4 linked regions of the Danio rerio genome follow. The protein of the gene in region 3 purifies or fractionates together with the protein of the main gene of each other region. This does not show direct contact. Links are inferred from orthologs where the notes say so. Each region holds a gene or a part of one and is shown on either strand. Other genes may lie near its edges. The genes, in order: rpa2, clspn, atr and topbp1.

The links.
Region 1: the proteins of atr (region 3) and rpa2 purify together in Homo sapiens (affinity purification with western blotting; 3 studies listed by BioGRID, with this or other methods). This does not show direct contact. The link is inferred for Danio rerio from reciprocal best matches to the Homo sapiens genes ATR and RPA2.
Region 2: the proteins of atr (region 3) and clspn purify together in Homo sapiens (affinity purification with western blotting; 3 studies listed by BioGRID). This does not show direct contact. The link is inferred for Danio rerio from reciprocal best matches to the Homo sapiens genes ATR and CLSPN.
Region 4: the proteins of atr (region 3) and topbp1 purify together in Homo sapiens (affinity purification with western blotting; 8 studies listed by BioGRID). This does not show direct contact. The link is inferred for Danio rerio from reciprocal best matches to the Homo sapiens genes ATR and TOPBP1.

What each region holds. Positions count from the first base shown.
Region 1 is NC_133191.1:4,959,699-4,964,879, forward strand, and holds part of rpa2 (replication protein A 32 kDa subunit), read right to left. Parts: intron 3,690-5,181; coding exon 3,573-3,689; intron 2,276-3,572; coding exon 2,156-2,275; intron 1-2,155. UniProt on the Homo sapiens protein: As part of the heterotrimeric replication protein A complex (RPA/RP-A), binds and stabilizes single-stranded DNA intermediates that form during DNA replication or upon DNA stress.
Region 2 is NC_133194.1:50,559,438-50,564,618, forward strand, and holds part of clspn (claspin), read right to left. Parts: intron 3,824-5,181; coding exon 3,721-3,823; intron 3,624-3,720; coding exon 3,178-3,623; intron 1,544-3,177; coding exon 1,355-1,543; intron 447-1,354; coding exon 292-446; intron 1-291.
Region 3 is NC_133177.1:18,765,237-18,770,417, forward strand, and holds part of atr (serine/threonine-protein kinase ATR), read right to left. Parts: intron 4,091-5,181; coding exon 3,911-4,090; intron 3,826-3,910; coding exon 3,683-3,825; intron 3,098-3,682; exon of another isoform or gene 2,942-3,097; coding exon 2,844-2,941; intron 1,026-2,843; coding exon 793-1,025; intron 718-792; coding exon 583-717; intron 1-582. UniProt on the Homo sapiens protein: Serine/threonine protein kinase which activates checkpoint signaling upon genotoxic stresses such as ionizing radiation (IR), ultraviolet light (UV), or DNA replication stalling, thereby acting as a DNA damage sensor.
Region 4 is NC_133199.1:10,084,536-10,089,716, reverse strand, and holds the end of topbp1 (DNA topoisomerase 2-binding protein 1), read right to left. Parts: intron 3,616-5,181; coding exon 3,454-3,615; intron 786-3,453; coding exon 648-785; 3' UTR 538-647; downstream 1-537. UniProt on the Homo sapiens protein: Scaffold protein that acts as a key protein-protein adapter in DNA replication and DNA repair. Composed of multiple BRCT domains, which specifically recognize and bind phosphorylated proteins, bringing proteins together into functional combinations.

The sequences.
Region 1 (5,181 bases), on a different chromosome or scaffold from region 3:
GCAAAGTCTGCAGTTAAACACTAGCCTAGAGCGCCGTCTGCTGTTAAAAACTAGCCTAGAGAGCGATCTGCTGTTAAACACTAGCCTAGAGCGCCATCTGCTGTTAAACACTAGCCTAGAGCACCGTCTGCAGTTAAAAACTAGCCTAGAGAGCGATCTGCTGTTTAACACTAGCCTAGAGCGCCATCTGCTGTTTAACACTAGCCTAGTGTCGTCTGCAGTTTAACACTAGCCTAGTGTTGTCTGCTGTTAAAAACAAGCCTACAGCGCCATCTGCTGTTAAAAAGTAACCTAGAGCACCGTCTACAATTAAACACTAGCCTAGAGCGCCGTCTGCTGGTAAAAACTAGCCTAGAGCACCGTCTGCTCTTAAAAATTAGCTTAGAGCACCATCAGCTGTTAAAAACTAGCCTAGAGCGCCATCTGCTGTTAAACACTAGCCTAGAGCGCCATCTGCTGTTAAACACTAGCCTAGAGCGCCATCTGCTGTTAAACACTAGCCTAGAGTGACCTCTGCGGTTCAAAACTTGCCTACAGCGCCATCTGCTGTTAAACACTAGCCTAGAGCACCATAAGCTGTTGAACACTAGCCTAGCGCCATCTGCTGTTAAACACTAGCCTAGAGCGGCATCTGCTGTTAAACACTAGCCTAGAGCGCCATCTGCTGTTAAACACTAGCCTAGAGCGCCATCTGCTGTTAAACACTAGCCTAGAGTGACCTCTGCGGTTCAAAACTTGCCTACAGCGCCATCTGCTGTTAAACACTAGCCTAGAGCACCATAAGCTGTTGAACACTAGCCTAGCGCCATCTGCTGTTAAACACTAGCCTAGAGCGGCATCTGCTGTTAAACACTAGCCTAGAGCACCATCAGCTGTTGAACACTAGCCTAGAGCGGCATCTGCTATTAAACACTAGCCTAGAGCACCATTAGCTGTTGAACACTAGCCTAGAGCGGCATCTGCTGTTAAACACTAGCCTAGAGCGGCATCTGCTGTTAAACACTAGCCTAGAGCACCATCAGCTGTTGAACACTAGTCTAGAGCGGCATCTGCTATTAAACACTAGCCTAGAGCACCATTAGCTGTTGAAGACTAGCCTAGAGCGGCATCTGCTGTTAAACACTAGCTCAGACTACCATCAGCTGTTAAACACTAGCCTAGAGCACTATAAGCTGTTAAACACTAGCCTAGACTACCATCAGCTGTTAAACACTAGCCTAGAGCACTATAAGCTGTTAAACACTAGCCTAGACTACCATCAGCTGTTAAACACTAGCCTAGAGCACTATAAGCTGTTAAACACTAGCCTAGAGCAGGGCCGGAGTGGGACTCCTTTTCAGACCTGGAGTTTCAAGCCCAAGACCTGCCCACCTCAGTTCACGACTGACTACAGTATATTAAAATAACGTCATTTCCAATTCAGTTTCTAATGACACTATCATGTCTTTTTAAAGAAAACAGCTGCTTTAAAACTTCAAATGTTTATCAACCCTAACAATATAATATGTCTTAACAATAAAAATGACAGAAAAAAAAAAAAAATATATATATATATATATATATATATATATATATATATATATATTCAAGACCTGCAAGACTCTTAACCACAGTATTGCTTTCTATTGATGGTTTAATCTTTTTCTCCCCATTTTAGATTTCTGATCAAGTTATGTTGGATATATTAATGTAGTGAATCATCTGATTTTCATTGAGCAGGTGTAATATTCATTAATATTAATTATTCAAATTCTTATTTTCACTATAAGTGCCGCTGTTTGGGGTTGAATGATAGTTACATCATCATTACCCTGCAGGCTGCATTCTGCTCACGGTGCTGCGAGAAAATAAATAAGAAGAGCGGAGCTGCAGCAAAATAATGAATCAAAAGAATGAGGCTATGGTCAAATAAATAAATAAATGAAAAAAGTGCGACTGCTGAGAGTGCAAGCAGCTAGGGACAACGGCCCTCATGGTCAAAAAACGTCTCCTGGTCCTCCCAATTAGCCAATCCGGGCCAGGCCTAGAGTGCCCTCTGCTGTTCAAAACTAGCTTAGAGCACCTTTGGTTAAACAGAAAGTGCAACCCATAACTGCAAATATAATATATAAAGGTGGAAGATGTGAATACAAATATGTTTGTAATGTTTACTCACTTGGTTCTGGTTGGCACTCAAGCCATTGACTAGCATCATGTTAGCACCAGAATAGCCTCCTGTGGTGCCCATACTATTCATGCTGGTATGAGACACTGGCATCATCCCTCCACCACCTCCCTATAAAGACACAACACATTATATTACATTATAAGAACAGTTATTGTGACCCCTGTCATGTTTCCATTATATTAACCACACAGAAATAGTGTCAGATTGATTTTACAGTACCATAGCAAACTTTGCCACCTTTATGAACTGCTATACATTAAAATAAAATGTTTTTTATTTTAATTTTAAATATCTATCTTTTTAAATCATATACAACTGAACATTGATGATGATCTCCAAGTCTCCAAAGTTAAACCAATAATAGACTTGTGCAGTAAACATTGCACCCACCAGCCATATTAGATGAGGTTGATATTAAAGACTAATTAATAAATGACAAATAATAAATATTAAATGGTTGTTAGACTGTTTATGTTGTCAATGTGCTTGTGTTTATTTAGGCCTATTGGTGTATGTGCACTGTTTGTATGTTTAGAACCACTTTCGGAGATGGCGGGGGTCGTGAGTCACTGAAATTGTTATTTTGGGGGGTCAGGCTGAAAAATTTGGGAACTGTACTTTTGTTAAAAAAAAAAAAAAAAAAAAAAAATATATATATATATATATATATATATATATATATATATATATATATATATATATATAAAAATAAATATATATATATTTTTTTTTTATCATAGTGTTCCCTTTCAAGCTAAAGAGAATTGGGATACCCCTTAAATTATGCATTTAATAAACGGATTCTTTATAAGGACTCAGAGCGGAAAAGGCTTGGGTGGTTTGTTATTTAAATATAGCAAATCATTCAAAAAAAAAAAACAATCAATTGTATTTAGCATGGCTGCACGGTGGCTCAGTGGTCAGCGCTGTCGCCTCACAATGTTGGCATTACTGTATGGAGTTTGCATGTTCTCCCTGTGTTAGCGTGGGTTTATTCCGTGTGCTCCGGTTTCCCCTACAGTCCAAAAACCTGCGCCATTAGTGAATTGAATAAACTAAATTGGCTGTAGTGTGTAAATGGGTATGTATGGGTGTTTCCCAGTACAGGGTTGCAGCTGGAAAGGAATCCCCTGCATAAAACATTGGTTATTAAAACTATTATGTTGAAAATGTAAATCATCTCCTTAATCACTTTGTCTTTAACTGTATATACAGATGCTGCATATTGTCTCATGACCCAAATATAACCAGTTGATAATTAATGCTTTGAAATTGAATCTACGATACACAAGGTTTGAACATGCTTGAATTCTGTGTTGAGTTTGTAACCATCAACCACTTTCTTTGCATTTTGTGCGAAAGAAAAGCAGAAGTGTAGCATGAGAAGGAGGTGCTGGAGTCTCACCATGTTCTGTGGTTTGCTCTGCTGGAGATGAGCGTTCACAACCTCCAGCATGTGCGATGTCACTTCATTCATGTCCTCCAGCACTCGAACGCTGAACGCCACCAAAGACCTGTTATTCTGCAAGGAGAATCAGAACTATTCGTGAAGGACAATCAGATTAAACCAGAACTAATACAGTTAAAGTGAATTGTGAATTTTGTTTTCTTTTTCAAGTGTTTCCCGAATGATGTGTAGCAGAGCAAGGGATTTATCACAGTATTTCCTGTAATATTTTATTGAGTCTTTTATAGATGTGTGTTAAAGAAAGGTTTAAATGTGTGCATGATTATTCCATAAATGCAATGTGTGTGTGCGTCATTTAAAACGTTAGCACCCATCAGCTTTAATCATGAATAAAACTGGATCATTTTGAGCGTTTGTCAGCTAATTTCAGCTTAAAATCATTATTGGGGCGGGATCAGAAATCGGTGACGTAGCACCAATCTGCCTGTCCAGTGATGATGCGTGAGTTTCTCATTATTATTTGTAGTGGAGTTTTCTTATCCTATGAGAAGACCCTGCTTCTTAATTATTAATACTGCATGTGCTTTCCGATGACAGACTAATACGGTCAGACCTGCCAAGCTGTGAGACGGCACACGGCAGTATTTAGGTGCTTATGAAGAGTGGCATGTGTTTGTTTCCATGATCCACACGGTTTGTTGCATGGTTTTCCTCTTATTCTGTCAAGGGCTGATACAGGCAACCTGTTTGTGTGCAGCAAGCATTTTTGTCAGAAGAGCTGTAGGAGAATTGGAGAATGACGGACTTTGTCTTTTATCAGTTGAGTTTGTTACCATTCAGACACATCGCCTATATCTGTGCTGCTGTGTTCGCACACATTTTAAATTCTCCAAATCACCTGCAGGACTAATGGTTGGAATAGACGGGGGAAAAGACCTGCTGTACTTGAACTGGAAGAGGTGTTTCATTGCTCTTTAAGTTCAATTATACTTAATAAATGCAAGTAAAAAGGTTGCATGCATGACTGTTTTAAAGACATGTGCAATTTAAAGGTTTGTATGTACATGCTAAGTAACAATAGATATCAGTCTGCATTTCACATTAATGCATGTAAACATTATAGACTTTTTCATAAGCATTTGAGCATTCAGAAGCATTCACATGTGCATATACAAGTGTTTAGTTCATGTGTGAAGTTTGATTTTAGTGCTACATGGCGCCTTGTGTTTTTTGTGTGAATTCTCTTAATATAAACAACAGCTTCAGTGATTATGACAAGATAATTTGTAAAAGTTACACAAGTAAATGCTTTGCCTCGACGTTGACAACACCAATCAGCTCCAGTGTTTGAGGATCAGAATAGGTGATTTTTTTTTCACAGGCGACACCGTAAATAAGTTATAAATAAATAAATGTGGTTCCATCAAATCATCTTGACCGTCAGTGAATAAATTCACATCTGTATTTATATGCTTATGCCACACTGCTGTTTTTGACTCTTTGGCACCACCTTGTGACTAAATATATTATGTGGGGTTAGTGTATGCTCCATTCAGCTGTTTTCGTCAGCTTTGCTTTTAATTAAAGAATGAAGTTCATATGTATC
Region 2 (5,181 bases), on a different chromosome or scaffold from region 3:
AGCATTTATTTATCATAGTTTAACATTAACTAATATCTCATTATTATATAAATTCATCCTTATTCGTTAATGCATGATGAGTTAACTTGAACTTGCAATGAACAACATTATTTCCATTACCTAACGTTAACCAACATGAACAAATACTGTAATAAATGTTTTGTTCATTGTTTGTTCAAGTACATTCACATCAACTAATACAACCTTATTCTAAATTATTTTCCACATGCGTTAAAAGCAAGACAGCCACAGCAAAAATTCATGTTAAAAATAAACGGCTAATCTCAATACCTCTTCATCCTCTGACTCGGTCATCTCTTCTTCCTCCTCTTCCTCACAGTCTTCATTATCGAGGCGATGAAGAGCAGCTCTTCTCTCTCGCTCCTCTTTCCTACGGAAGGCCATGGCTTGCTGCAAACGAGACTTCAACAGCACCAGTTTCTCACCTACAAAAGACACAGAGTAATGAACACACACTAAAACAGCTCACAATAACATCTTTAAAAAGTCCCTTTAACAATTATTATGAGTTTACAATCATCGTAACTTTATTAAATTTAACTTGATAATTTAATTTAATTTGATCCTGCTGATTTAATTGACATTATTATCATCATCATCATCATCATCAAAGTCTTGTAAGCAATTGTAAACAGAGTTTGTTAAACTTGATCTTTAAATGATGAGGGATTTTTTTTCTTTAGCATTTTAATTTCCTATAATTATATAATCTAATATTAATAATTAATTTTTCTTAGTGGGGAAAAAAAATTATTTTAAATTGTAAATACTTTGTGGAAAAAATAAATCAGGGACGCCATATCTATATCACCCGGCTCTAGTATAGTAGCCAATCCTGCTCCATCTAAAAACATGCAGAACGTTTAATACAAATGGCTTTACTGACAAACTGCACATGAAAAACAACATATTAATCTCCTACTATTTATCACCCAGCCCTAGAGGGTATTAATTATTATCTCAGTGCTGCCACCTGCTGACTTCTATTATAAGCATCTCAAAGAACAACAATTTAGGCTAAAAATATAATGCACAAAAAATAAATAAATAAAGTGACCTACACCTTGAATGGCCAGAGGTAATGATAACCTTCAAGAAAATTATTTGACAGTATTGTGATCACTGCTCTAATACAAGTCATTTTCAAATAAAACAAATACCGGAGACCAGTGGACTTTAATGTGGAGCGTGCTTTTCTTTGACAACACATATTTTTTTTAAATTACATATACCACAGAAACAACTAATCTTTTTAAAACAGTTAACATGGTAAACCTTGAAACCGGTTATCGTCCCATGCCTACCTGCGGGTGAGTAAATGCATTGACTGTACCTGGTTTGACATTGGCTGGCTCATCTTCTCCCTCCTTGACAGTGATTGTGATGGATTCAGAGTGCAGCTCCTCCTGTCCTGATGAACTGCTGTCTTTCCTCACCACATTAAGCTGTAATGTGCGCTCGCGTTTAGGACGAGGTGCGGGCTGGAAGTGCTTCATGAAGCGCTCCTGTAGTGCTTTCAGAGCTGAAACAGACACACAATCAACCATCATAAATTGTTGAAAAGTGCAAAAGAAAATTAAAACATTAAAAATTTTCATTTGAAGCCAATTTCCCTGACATTCAATGACAAAAAGCTGAATTTCCATGGCATTTCCATTCAATTTTTTAATGAAAGAAAAGACTAGACACTGATGTGCTTTGCATAAAACTAAAATAGTTTGAATATAAATTTTCATGATTTAATAGCCATTATAAGAGCAATAATGGATAATTTAGCTCAGATTTTAAAGAAATTTAAAAAGTCTAACAGCCAGTCCTAGCTAGGCATGAGCCAGTATGAGATTCTGACGGTATGATAACCTTGGGAAAAATATCACTGTTTTACTGTATTGTGGTTACTGCTCTGATATTGGTTCTTTTTAAATGTTTGGGTTAAAAACTAAAAAAATTTCACTTTTGAACACATTATATTTCATTTTGAGAAACATTTAAATATTTTGGAAGAGTAAACATGTCAGGCTAAATTAATTATTGACTTCTGCTGTTGTAATTTGTTTCAAAAACAGATTTTTTGCAATTTAAAATGGCATCTTTAGATATATTTTCTGCTGGAGATAATGTTGACATTTCACCCACAGTGGCAATTCAAAGTGCTTTACATGGAAAGGAATAAAAGAGACAAGTGTAATAAAAATAAATAATATAAGAACAGATTAAAATGTGTTAAAACAGGTTATAAATCAATGAAAAAGAAAAGAAAGACATATAGTGCGACCTGTCGGTGTTCATTCAGCAAAGGCACAGCTAAACAGACGTGTGTTCAGTCTTGATGTGAATGTGCCTAATGTTGGAGCACATCTGATCATTTCTGGAAGCTGATTCCAGCAGCGGGGGGCGCTATTAGTAGCTGAAGGCTAATTCACCCTGCTGTGACTGAACTCTTGGAAAAAAACATTAGTAATTTAAAAAAAAAAAAAAAAAATTTGTAGCACAGTTAGCGGTGGAGTCAGAGAGGCAATTGCAGATTAGGAAGGAAAGTGGAGACTAAACAGTTGAGTTTTTAGTGGTTTCTTGAAGACAGCGAGTGACTCTGCCGTTCTGATGCAGTTAGGGAGTTCATTCCACCAACTGGGCAGATTGAATGCGAGAGTTCGGGAAAGTGATTTCTTCCCTCTTTGGGATGGAACCACGAGGCGACGTTCATTCACAGAACGCAAGTTTCTAAAGGGCACATAGATTCTAGAGACCAGATAAGAAGGAGCAAAGCCAGAAGTTGCTTTTTAAGCAAACATCAGAGCTTTGAATTTGAAGCAGGCAGCAACTGGCAGCCAGTGCAAACGGATGAGCAGCGGAGTGACATGTGCTCTTTTAGGTTCATTAAAGACCACTCGTGCTGCTGCGTTCTGGAGCAGTTGAAGAGGTTTGATAGAGTTATTTTGGGTTTATTTATTTTTCCAAATCTTTTCCAGGCCTGGAAAATGCCTTGCCAAAATTCCATGACTTTTCCAGGACCGTATGAACCCTGTTATTATCTTATTCTACTTTTTGTGTACGGTCATAAACAGTTGTTTTTAGAGTTCTAAATCAATCACAAAAACGAGCGCTCTTCCATATTGCAGAACAACAGATAATGATATTCCCTATGTAAAATCGTACCTTGGTTTTCCTGAGGCGCCTCCAACTGGACAAAAGCCCCTTCATCTGCAGACAACTTCACCACAGGAGGAGGATCCAGACCAAGCTCCCTCAATCTGGCCAGTTTATCCTTCCGAGGTTTGAGCACCTGAGGTTCAGTCTGGGCTGCATCCACCGAGACCTGCTGCTCTTCTTGCTCTGGATGTCCCTCAGTTGTTTTCTCCTCAATGGGACTGTTCTTCTCTTCATCCTCAGGATTGGGTTTGTCAGTGATTATTTCACCATGTACCTGAGCTTCTCCATCATTAGCAGGACCATCTTGGTGTGTGCTGGAGGCTGGGTCTGGTGTGATGGAGGTCTGGTTCTCCAGAGATGATTCTGGTGGAGGGTTTGTGTCCTGCTGGGGTGCTGTGGTTTGATCTGGAGGAGTAGTGGATTCTAAAATACAAGCCTGGTACTTGGCAGACCTTGAGGACAGGTGAAAAAGTAAACAATACATTTCTTCATATGAATGCATAAGGGGGGGGATTCATTGGTAATAGAGATGATATTTCAATGCCATACTTGAGCAAAGCCATCCCACGACCTTCTGGACGTGGTCTTCTCTTGAAGAACTGATCAATACTTTTGGGTTCAGACATGTGATACGGCAGATTGAGCAAGGACTCTGCAAATGTTTAAGAGAGAGACCATCATGAAGGAGAATCAGAATGAAAGCGCTATATTGCCAAGTGTGTTAGGAACACACAAGTACTTTGTCAGTGATAGGAGCTTCCAGTAGAGGCAGTACAAAAAGTTCAAACACAGTGGAAACTTAAATAAAAGCACATTAAAGGGTCACGAAACACCAAAACACATTTTTTGAGCTGTTGACAGTCGTATGTGTCCCACACTGCTAAAAACACTATTAGGACACCTATATTTCACTAAAAAGTGTAAATTGGTTGTTTTTGCGTTATTTCAAGCAAATTCGTACTTCCTGTTAGAAACGAATTTTTGAAGCTGCGTCACGGTCATGAGATAATAGCGTGTATTCCAGCGTGCAGACTGGACGTCTGTGCCAGAGTGTGTCTTATTACATCTTACAGTGTGATGCATTAATGCATGAGTAAAGCTTGGTTCAAACCAATCAGCGCGCTCTATTGTGCAACTTCATTAATATTCATTACTGTGTTTACACGACATAGACGCCACGTTGTGTTGGCAAAACAAGCGTGAAGTGTTGCTTTTATAGTTTGCTGCTGTTAAGTTTCGTTTTCTTTTTCTCTCTGTGAGAGCGCAGCTGGACTCACGTGTGGATTAACAGTGTACGCGACGCTCGACAACAATAGCTTACGTCTCTAAGGAGGATTATTGTTTACCTGAGAGCTGTTCTCATCTGCAAACGCTGAGATCGGATTCGCTTGTAGTATTCTCTTCATAAAGACGCGGCTCTAGATGCTGTGGATTGTTCTGTCTCTACAGATTTGGTAAGTGAGCGACCAGTGCTCTTTGTTTTTTCAGTTTGTTCGTATCAAACTAAGTTAATTATTGCACCGTAACATGTTAGGACCACAACCAAACTTTAACCTCGTGTAGGGTTTTTAACCGCATTTAGTGACCGGAATAACACACGCGGCTTTCTGACGCTACCTGCCGTGTGCATCTAAGTTTCCGGGAAATGCTGAGGTTTTTTTTTCTCTCATTCGCCGTGCGGTATCAAACATTGCATGAAAAATACACGCTTAGAGCAGATCCTCGAATCAAATATCTCGTTTGTTGTGAGGGACATGAATGAATTCCCTGAATGAAAGAGCCAAACTGCAGTTAAAGTCCACCATTTAATCATTTGGCAAATAATTCGACTACAGATGTCCATGTAGGTTAAACACCATCACTTTCTCCTGTGTGTGAGTATTTTGACTGAAACTCGCGCGTGCCCAAATAGACACTCCCACACCCTCCCACTTTTCTTCCTCCGACACTCCCCCCTAAACAGAGCTGGACACGCCCACTTTTCTGACTTTTTCCAAAGTAGAGGTGTAA
Region 3 (5,181 bases):
AGTCTTGTTATAGTGAATTGTGAACTTGTTAACGCGTTTTCCTTGCCTTGCCATATTTTTGACCATCGTCTTTTTTATTTGTTTATGCTGCCTGCTACCTGCCTATACTGACCATTCCCCTAATATTTGACTACGACTCTGGATTGCCCGAATACATCTGTTTGTTCCTGTAATGACCATTGCTTGCCTGACCATTCTGTTTAATAAACCTGTGTTTGGATTCACACCTCCCTTGTCAGCAGCCTCTTCACATTACATATATGGTTGTGTGTATTGTTTTATAATGAAAATCAATAAAAAGTATTTGAATAAATGTCTTTATGATCTTGCCTGTTTAATGTTTATTTTTAATAAAAAAAAAGTCATATGTAACCTATTCAAACGTTTATCTAATCTGTGTTTTAGTTCAGACGTGGTGTGAGATGCTTTCCAGAAAATACAGTGCATATTCAAAGCTAATTTTAGAGCTAATTAATTTTGTAATGAATGCCTGAGGGGGAAGCTGAATATAAAAGATTAATAAATCCACAAAAGCTGTTTCTTTCGAAATCACTTTCTCTCTAGTGGTAAAGTCTGTCTTACTGGTTTATTTCCGAGCTCCAACAGCTTGTCAGTCAGTCTGTTGGCATCTCCGATAAACTTCATAAATGAGTCATTCAGACTGATGGCCTTCTTCAGGATCTCCTTACATCTGTTCATTCGAGTCGGATAGGAGGACTAAAAAAGAAGCATAAACGAAACATTATTTATACCTGTATGCATTAGATATTGTAATAAATGAAGATTTCTGACCTTTGACACAGCAGTCATCATCCACATGGCCTGTTGCGGGTAAGCTAAGAATACTTTGGCCACAATCTCCATGAGAACAGCAAAGACCTCGTTGCTGGAGTGGCAGATTCTGGAGATGAGCTGGGAAAAGGCTGTGAGGAACTGGTAGGGCGAGAGGTTGCTAGTGTGGTCGCTGATCACGGAATTGATCTTCGTAAGCTCAGTACGCATCTGGACTCGGTCAGAGCGGCCAGCTTAAAGACAAAAAGTGGGAAGAAACTGCTGTATCGAAGATTACTAGAGCAGTGAGTCTTAAGACTGACAAAAAAATCCTTTTAAATCACTAGAATTTATTTTTAAAAATCATTGCACATTTGGAAAGATTCCGTATGAATTGATATTCAAGATTACATTCTGTGCGACTCCTGCGAAAATCATGTTTGTGGATGTGCTAAAGGCTGAAAGCTGTCAAAGCGAAACAAGCTCGCTGAAGCAATGTGATATATATGCACAGCTAGTGTTTTTCAGGCCAGTGCAGAAAATCCATTCAAAATATTAGGGTAAAATTAATTTCTATATTTTAAAGACATGGCATGGAAAAATCTAATTTAATGCAGTGCTTCTTTTTTTACTCTGGGTTTACTCTGATACCCACTTTATATCGTATATGTCAGCCAGGCAGTGAAGATCACTGTTTTTTTAAGAAATCAGATCCCAGCAATTTTGCATGGGATGAGAATTAACCGAAAGCCCTGGGGCTGACTGACTGAAATTAAAAGTCTGTGTCCATATACCCCATTGCTGATGAGAGACGAATGCAATCCACTTTTATTATGCCACGGTTGAGCACTTTGGTTTTTTTGGTCATGATCACATAGAAAAGAAGAAGAGATGTTTTATCATATTAAATACATTTTAGGTTGTGTTATAAGGCAGCTCAGTGCAGTCTAATGAAACACAATATATTAAAGTCTTTGGAGTTTCTATTTCCAATAAAACAAAAAAAGAAAAATATATAATTTGAAGACAAAACAAAATATACTGAAGAGTTTTTCAACATTCTTCAGAATATGTTGTGCTCAAAAGGGGGAAAAAAAGAAACTTAAATGAGTTTGTAGTAAGGATGAGTAAATTCATTCATTCATTTTCTTTTTGGCTTAGTCCCATTATAATTCTGGGGTCGCCACAGCGGAATGAACCACCAACTTATCCAGCACGTTTTTACACAGCGGATGCCATTTCAGCCACAACCCATCTCTGGAAAAGGATAAGTAAATTAAGAGAAATTTTTCATCTCTTTAAGTGTATTTTCCACACACTGCTAGTTTCAGTAACATTGTTTCTAGTAGCTTTGGAAAGAATAAATTCTGTTAGGCTTGCCTATAGTTAATAGATATAATGTTGGTTACAGTGAATGCCACAATAATATTGTGTATATATTGTTCTATAATTGTTGTTTTATTTATCATTCCGTAATGAACATTTAATTTTAAAGGACTTGCTTTAGCGTTTTAATGATCGTAAAGGCTTCATTTACTAATGGAAATCCAGTATTGCTGTGTGCAGTTTTCCTCTCAACAATAAAATTTGGACATTACAAATTGCATAAAATTTGATACCTTTGCAGGTGTATTTTTAAAACCAATTAATTGTTTTATAATGAATGTCTAAGAAAAAACCTTAACAGATTTATAAATAAATAAAAATGCATTTATAATGGATTAATAAGTAACATGGGTATTGCTTATATTGCTTGCCTAATATAATTGCCCAAGTAAAAATTAAAAACCTTTCTTGAAAACATTTGGGCTAATATAAATACGTCAGAAAAATATATAACAGTGTTCTACTGTTTTTGAATATTTTAATGAAACTATATCTATTTTTTATAATACATATTGTCCATTTAATATAATGAGTATACTATTTTGACAAATTGCAATTTTACACTCTCTACAATGTTTATCATTTCAAATTGACTGTTCAACACAAACCACTGATGGAGGTATGCAAATAAATATTTTAATTGTTTAATTTTTCCATACACTACATCAACCATTTTTGTGCCTTACCTTTTTCAAATTCATAAACCTTGGCACCAAAGTCCAGCCATAACGTAAGCATTCTCGGCATGGCTTGATAGATGTACTGATTGCCAAACTGCAAAGCTCTGTGAAACAAGCAAAACAAGCATCTCTAAATCTAACTTTCACACAATTCATTCAAATAGACTAAAACTAAAACCATAAAACTTAATCCTCCTGTTGTATGAAATGATGTATACACTGTTCAACCTTCCTTCTGTTGACTCATCTTTATGAAACCTCTAAAATAAAGAATCAAAATTTAATTTTATTCCTCAAATCTATTTCGCATGATGAAACGAACTCTGTGCATGAGTTTTTCATGAATGTTTAATTAGAGGTCACCACGTGTTTTTGACTTATGTGAAGTGGCATGTTTATCAATTGCTAAAAGTACATGCATGAATGTTAAACATTAAAGCAAGAGAATATTAATAAAGGTTAAAGCAGTAGATTCTTATTGTTTGTGTTTGGGGGTGTGTGTGCCCGTGTGAGCTAGTGGTTTTCATGGTAAAAAAAATAGTTTTATACTGTAGCTGGCGGGTAAAAAATGGACTAAATGACACCCATTATACCCTAAATGTGTACAGAAATCATTAAAAAACAAAAATAAAGATTTAGGTCAAAAGGAGGGTTAAATAATTTTTTTTTACTTTAAAAAAAGTTACTCAGTTACTTGCCATAGAAATATTTCACATGTACACAACTTTATTAAATTAATAAAACTAAAATAAAAGCACACACAAAATTTGATTTGTTTTGTAAACTTTTGCAGAATTGCTAAATAAAAATCACAATATAAACATTATCAAAAGAAAACATCTTACTTTCCAAAATAAGTGACAATATAACGGATGAGGTTGCCTTGTCTTTCCAGTTTGTTGTCAGTGACCATGGGCATCACCTTGTCATAGTATTTGGCCAGGTAGAAGTTTCCATCCTCCCATTCTGGCAACAGAGTCGTAACATCCTGCATTAAAAAGAACAGAAGTCACTTTCTGATGAATCTGACTCCAGTACTGACATTTGACTTCATTTGTGACTAACTGAAATACCTTATAGGTTTTCATAATCGCATTGCTCTCGAAGTTGGCTGTCTCCTCCATATATCTGCCCACCAGCAGCATGGCGTTTCCCTTGACCTGGATTCTCTTGGGGTCTGTGAGCGTCTGGTCATCAGGAAAACACTGCTGCACTCCTTTCTGCAGGACTATCAGAGCTTGATGCACATCACCCTATAAAATAATAGCATCTTTCCTTATACAAGGTACCCAATTATTCATGAACAGCAGATTCAAAGATTTTCAAAGACTTCTTACATTTTAAATCAAGCACTATTTACATCCCCAGCATGTATATCACCATATAAGTCCTTATTGTACGTAACATTTCACCCACACTTAACATTTACAGTAAAAATGAGAGTAATGATAATTTTAAACAGTCATGTTCAAAGAACTTATTAAAAATGTGTTGAATTCCACTCTAGTATTTTAAATTAAATTTAAATGCGGTTTCTGAAATGAAATTAGCATTATTTGTCATTGTTCTTGTACAGGATTGAAATGTAAGATTTGTAAATTGCATGGTTTCAGCAAGTTTCACCAAGTCAAATTAAAGACTTTTTAAGGTCTTTTTAAGACCCCAACGAAAAACATTTCAGACTTAAATAAAGCTAGACACTAAAGATTTTTTTTAAATGGCCCAGCAGAAAAAAAAAATCTAAGTAGTCATTTCTTAGCCACATATTTTAAATAATGAGTCAAAACAAGCAGACCTTAGTTGTACACATATATTTTTGTTCAACATAACTTAAAAAAAAAAATCTAAAAACTAAGGGTCCTATCATACACCCGGCACAATGCAGCGCAAGGCGCTACGCAACTGTTGTATGCTGGTTTCAGCTATAGGCGCAAGAGTCATTTTGACGTTAAAGACCCGGCTGTTTATACAGCAAATGCATTTGCGCTCATATGTGCGCCCCTAGGCGGTCTAGTCTAAAAACGGGGGTGTGTTAAGGAGCATTGCTGGAGCGTTGCTATTTAGGGAACTAAAATACACTGTTCAATAGACCAGCTATGAGGAGGTCTAAAGCCCAGCGCAGAGCGCGTGAGTTATGTGCCTCGCTTAAACATTGCTTAATACACACAGGATGTAGGCTACAGCAAAACGCAAATACCTTCACAAATGGAAAAAAAAGGAAAGGATTAAATTACTAGATTAAATTACAAAAAAAATGTTTTTCTAGCCAACATTAATATAAAAACCACTGCCTCCATGCCTTCTTCATCTCGGGGGGCATTTTTGTTTATTCATGACAATTTGC
Region 4 (5,181 bases), on a different chromosome or scaffold from region 3:
GGACATTTTCTTTCAAGAAAAATGTCCAAAATTTTGACTAAAAGTTACTTGTAAAATGTTTTCACTATTTTTAACAACAACACAGTCAGTCAGTAGTGAAAGATGACTTCACTCATGTCAAATTCTTCTCTGTCTTAAAGGGCACATATTTTAGCCCTTTTTTGAGATTTAATACTAATATTATGGTTCTTCTGAGTGTGCCAATGTAGGTTCAGATCAAAACGCAATTCAGATATGGTTATTATGCTGTGTTAAAAAGTGTAAATTTAGAGGCGTGTACACGGGTTGCTGTTTTGGGGTGTGTTGTTTAAAGCCTTTATCGATGAGTTATTTTCACAAATTATGATGGCATAGCCGTTAAAATAGGACAAATAAGCTCATGTATGGGACAAATTCTGGACATTTGTCAGTGAGGGGTGGGTCTTCTGAACCACACGAACCCCCCCACTGGCTATGGGCCTGTAATCAAACTGTTTTTCCTATTTTCTTTTAAAATCAGGCCAGATCCTGAAAGACTTCAGTATTCTTGGACCATGCTTCACATTCTGAATTATATATATATTTTTTATTGACAAAACAGAATTCATGTACAATGTAATTGAATAAAATGACTTAAATATTTAATTTGAGCTTGAAATAGGATGATTTCATCTCATACGGCTTTTCTTCAGTGTGGACATGTCCCCAGAGGCTTTCCGTTTGCGTGAAGATGCATCTACAACCTTCTCTGTCTCATCGGCAGCTGCTCCAGGAAGATAGTAAGCGTCCATTGAAGGAGACGGTTCCTGGAAAAAGAAAATATTCAAACGCATTTAATGAACATAGCTAATAATTCTAAAAAAAAAAAAAAAAAAAAAAAACTATTCAGAGCAATGGAACAAGGAATCGCTGTGATGGGATTTCCACATGACTGCCTCTAGTACATTAATATCCGGTGCTGGACTGCACAATTAACCAACATAAAACCAAACTCACTTATTGCTTAGTAATTATGCAATTATAAAAGAACTATAAATACCATCAGGCAGATTACTTTTCCTAAACTTTTTAATAGTATTTTTTTTTTTAATTAGCATTTAAATATTACAATAGAAATGAATAAAGGCTGAATTTAATTAGGCCTGTTGGTTTAACACATTTACTTAAATATTTCACAGTTATTTGGTGACTATCATGATGCAGAAGAGCAACTCAGTGCATGGTGGAGCCTTGATACAGTTATAGGTATTGAAGATGCGAGATATTGCAAATCCACATTTGCACGAATATTGACAAACGATCATAAACTAAAATTAAAATTTTTAGTGACGAGCCAGCACTGGCAATTTGGAAATTATGACAAAAGTGGCTAGTGGGAGTGTCTGTCTAACTCGCCACAGCTGAAATCTACCTGCATTTGGCGGGGGTTAATGCCAAGCCCTGATTATACAGCAGTTTCCTTTTTCTATAAGTCATTCATTAAAATTATTTAAATGAATAAATGATGAAAAATCATTCACAGCCACTTAGTTGCAATTTCTATTTCAGACAAAACAATAAATTTATACATAATGCCTATTCAGGGTTCTTGCACTATTTTAAAAGTAAAATCTAATGCTTTTTAAGACCTCAACAAATATGGTTTGAGACCAAAAAATTTCATAATTTCTTTGGAATAGGCTGCTTAATTTAATGTCCTCATTAGATTTAAATGAATTGTGCCTCGTCACAGTATGGATATAACCCACAGTGCCTGCCTTTTGGATGTCTGGTGGTGAAATAAAACTGTTATAGCTGTCTGTGAGGTGGCGTCTAAACTAAAGCTGTAATCGGGCCATTAAAGTTAGACCCGATAGGGCCCAAATCCCGACAAGTACATATTGACTGACAGCTTTTAAAAAGCCCAAACACGTTTAGAGCCAACATTATTCAAATGTGCACATGCACACAGCTCTTTTGCCTTTTTTCATAAGTGAGTCCTTTATATGTGTTAGCATTACTTATTTATAACATAGGCTATAGGCCACTTGGAAGTTGGAACAAAAAAAAAAAAAAAAATAAGCCCTCTGTAACATCGTAACATCTTAGCACTCTAATAAGCCTGGGTACATACACTAAGCCTTTTAATTGGCCAACACACCAATAAAAATTAGTCTTTCTTAACAAATTAAATTAAATGATAAATGATAATTGAGAATCATGAAATTAAGATGAAGGCTCTGTGTGAATTGTTTTGTCACTTCTCTTCACAATCTGCAATAAGGCGACAGTGAAGCTGAATAATAAAAGATTAAGGCCAACATTAGCCAATATACTCTGTCTACATTATGATTTTATGATTTAATTTAAATATTTGGTTATAATTTGAAAATCCTTTACTCATCAAGATTAGGCGATGTGTTTTTTGGCGGAACATTGTTGAATTCACTGTACATGGCTTTAGCGCAGTCCTGCACTCACTGAGCAGCACTAAACACCCTTTCACTGCTGCTGCTACTGGCCGGGATGCACTACTGATCTGGCTAATTTAGCATGTTTTGGGTAGGTATGTTTGTTCATCTTCCACCAGTCAAGAACATTCATTTAATTTTCATGACAGCGGTTTCAGTGTAGCAAGTGACCCCGTCATTTTTCCTTTCAGCTCGCTGTACATTGCTGTTTAGTGCTCTACCCTAATACGCAGTGTATGAGCGACTGCCGAAATACCTTAGTGGCTAGAATGACTGCTCTTATTAAACTAGCAGCAGTCAAAATTCACTCTTTTTGACTTTTCCTTTTTTTTCCCATCATTTGTTTCACCTTTGTAGGGATGTAAACAACAATTTGATTACTTTCTTGCGCAAATCGAAATCCATCACATGACCGTTTATTTACTGCTCAGGCCCAAGCCCAGCCCGACCCCGTCTAAAATGATAGAAATTAAGTACGAACCCATCGGGTTCGACACCCGCGTTATGACAGCATGCAGATGTAGACCGACGTAAGCATCTGTAGCCGACCTACCGTAACAAGCTAATAAATCACGGAGACGGTCATTTCTCTCCTGTTTCACACATATTAATCAACTATTAGATGTTTCACGGTGGACCACTGTGCTTCCCTATCGTCACTGAGCACACCAGCTGGAAATGTAATACTTACAGCCACTTTACGGTAAATCTAAGACAATTTAATAACTTAATTTCCCGTATTTTAATTTAAGACATTTTAAGACTTTTTAAGGATCCTTGGGAAACCTGCTATTGAAAATTAATAAAAGAGACATTAAAATAAATTTTATTCGATGCAATTCATTTGTGATTAACAAATTGCGTTTTTTTTTTCTTGATTGCATAGAAATATGAATTTATTTTTGTGCAGCCTTAAAAACAAGCACAAAATCATTATTGATAATAACACTTTTTTTTATCAAAGTGAAAGAACAAGTAAAAATGTTGTGTTTGTCTGGTTTGAATCACAAATAGCACCTCTTACCTGCATGAGATAATCAGCAATGTACTCTGGTTTAAGACATTTGACCCCGTGAGCTGAAGCCTCACTGATGTCCACTCTAACATCACCTGGTTTTAACCGACTGAAATCCACAAACAGGTGAGTGGTCTCTTTAAACAGTGAGGGAGAAGGATCTGGCAGCACCTGTGTAGCAGGAAAGGGTGAAATACAAGAAAAATAAACAACAAAGTAAGGAATGAGCAACAACAGCCTGCAAAGTCACATTGTTTACTTGTCCTTCAAACTTGATGAGTTTTGAAAAATACAATATAACCATTCACATCCATTAACAAATGCTATGAATGTATTTGAAATATCTTCTTTTGTATTTAACAGAAAAGGGAAACTAAAAATAGCATGGAATGACTTGAGGAGGTAAATGGTGAATAAATTTAGATTTTTGAGTGAACTGTGGTTTTAAGTTAAGAAATCCCTGAGTAATAAGGTTAAGGGTAATCTCAGGAAAACTTGAATGGCAAGAAAGAAGACATAAGGGTCAACAAAACCAGTGTTTCTCAACCATGTTCATGAAGGATCACCAGCACTGCATGTTTTGGATGTCTTCTTTGTCTGTCACACACATTTCTGGTCTTTCAGTCTCTGCTAATGAGCTGATCTGAATCAGGTGTCTTTGGTTAAGGAGACATGAAATATGTGCAGAGCTGATGCTCGTCCAGGAACATGGTTCAGAAACACTGAACTAAATGAATGTATGGGTGCCGTTAGTTATTCTACCTTAATTATCTAAGTTGTCCCTTAAGCAACCATTTCTTAATAAATGTAAAGACCAGGACACAGCAAGCCTATGCCAAAGAACTAGCATTGATGAAAATCAAATATGTTGTGGTTTCGTGTCGACCACGGCTGGTCCCATCTGGACTAAAATGCTGTGTGTGAACACAACAAAGGGATGGCTGCAGGCTGAAACCAGAGCACATCTTGTATCTTTCTGTTAACGCAGATTGCAGTAATATTCTTTCTCAATCCAAAAAAGTAAAACCAGAACATGAGATGCACAAAGCGTGAACAAAGCAGCATTTATTGCCATTATCACAGTAATCCTCACTCACCACAGAGGGATTTGCTTGTGCCAATATGTCTGATAATCTAATAATCCATAAATGTAGTATTATTTGAGTAATATTATTGACTAAAGTGAAAACGTTCAGATGATTTATGTACAAAAAAAAATCCAAGTAATATTGTTTGTATTTTAGCGGATGTTACATGAGAGAGTTTACCAAACAAGTAAAATTTGAGAATTCATTTTATTTTTTATGTATGTTATGCTTTTAGTTCCTGGACTTGTACACAAAATCTGCATAAATCCACAGATTTTATTTCTTGTTTCTATGCATAACTAGTGAATAAATTCAGATTGTGTTTGGCCCTTAGGTTATGCCCCCCCTCAAGTCAAACTACTTAAAGACTTATACAAAACTAGAGCCTGGTCTTGTATTCACAAAACATTTTCTCTTAGCACATGCCTATTATCTTTACAAATTTCACCTAAATCCACAAGTTAGTATCTACATATGAAGAGTTCAGATGTAAAAAAAAAAAAAAAAAAAAAAAACTCTAAATGACATCTTATGTTCTCTTTAAATAAGCATTTTTCTCAGCATCATATGTTTATATTCAGTTATTTCACTTTAATGGCAATAAAAATAACTTATTCGTCACTATAAAAGTAAAATTACTAAGCCTACA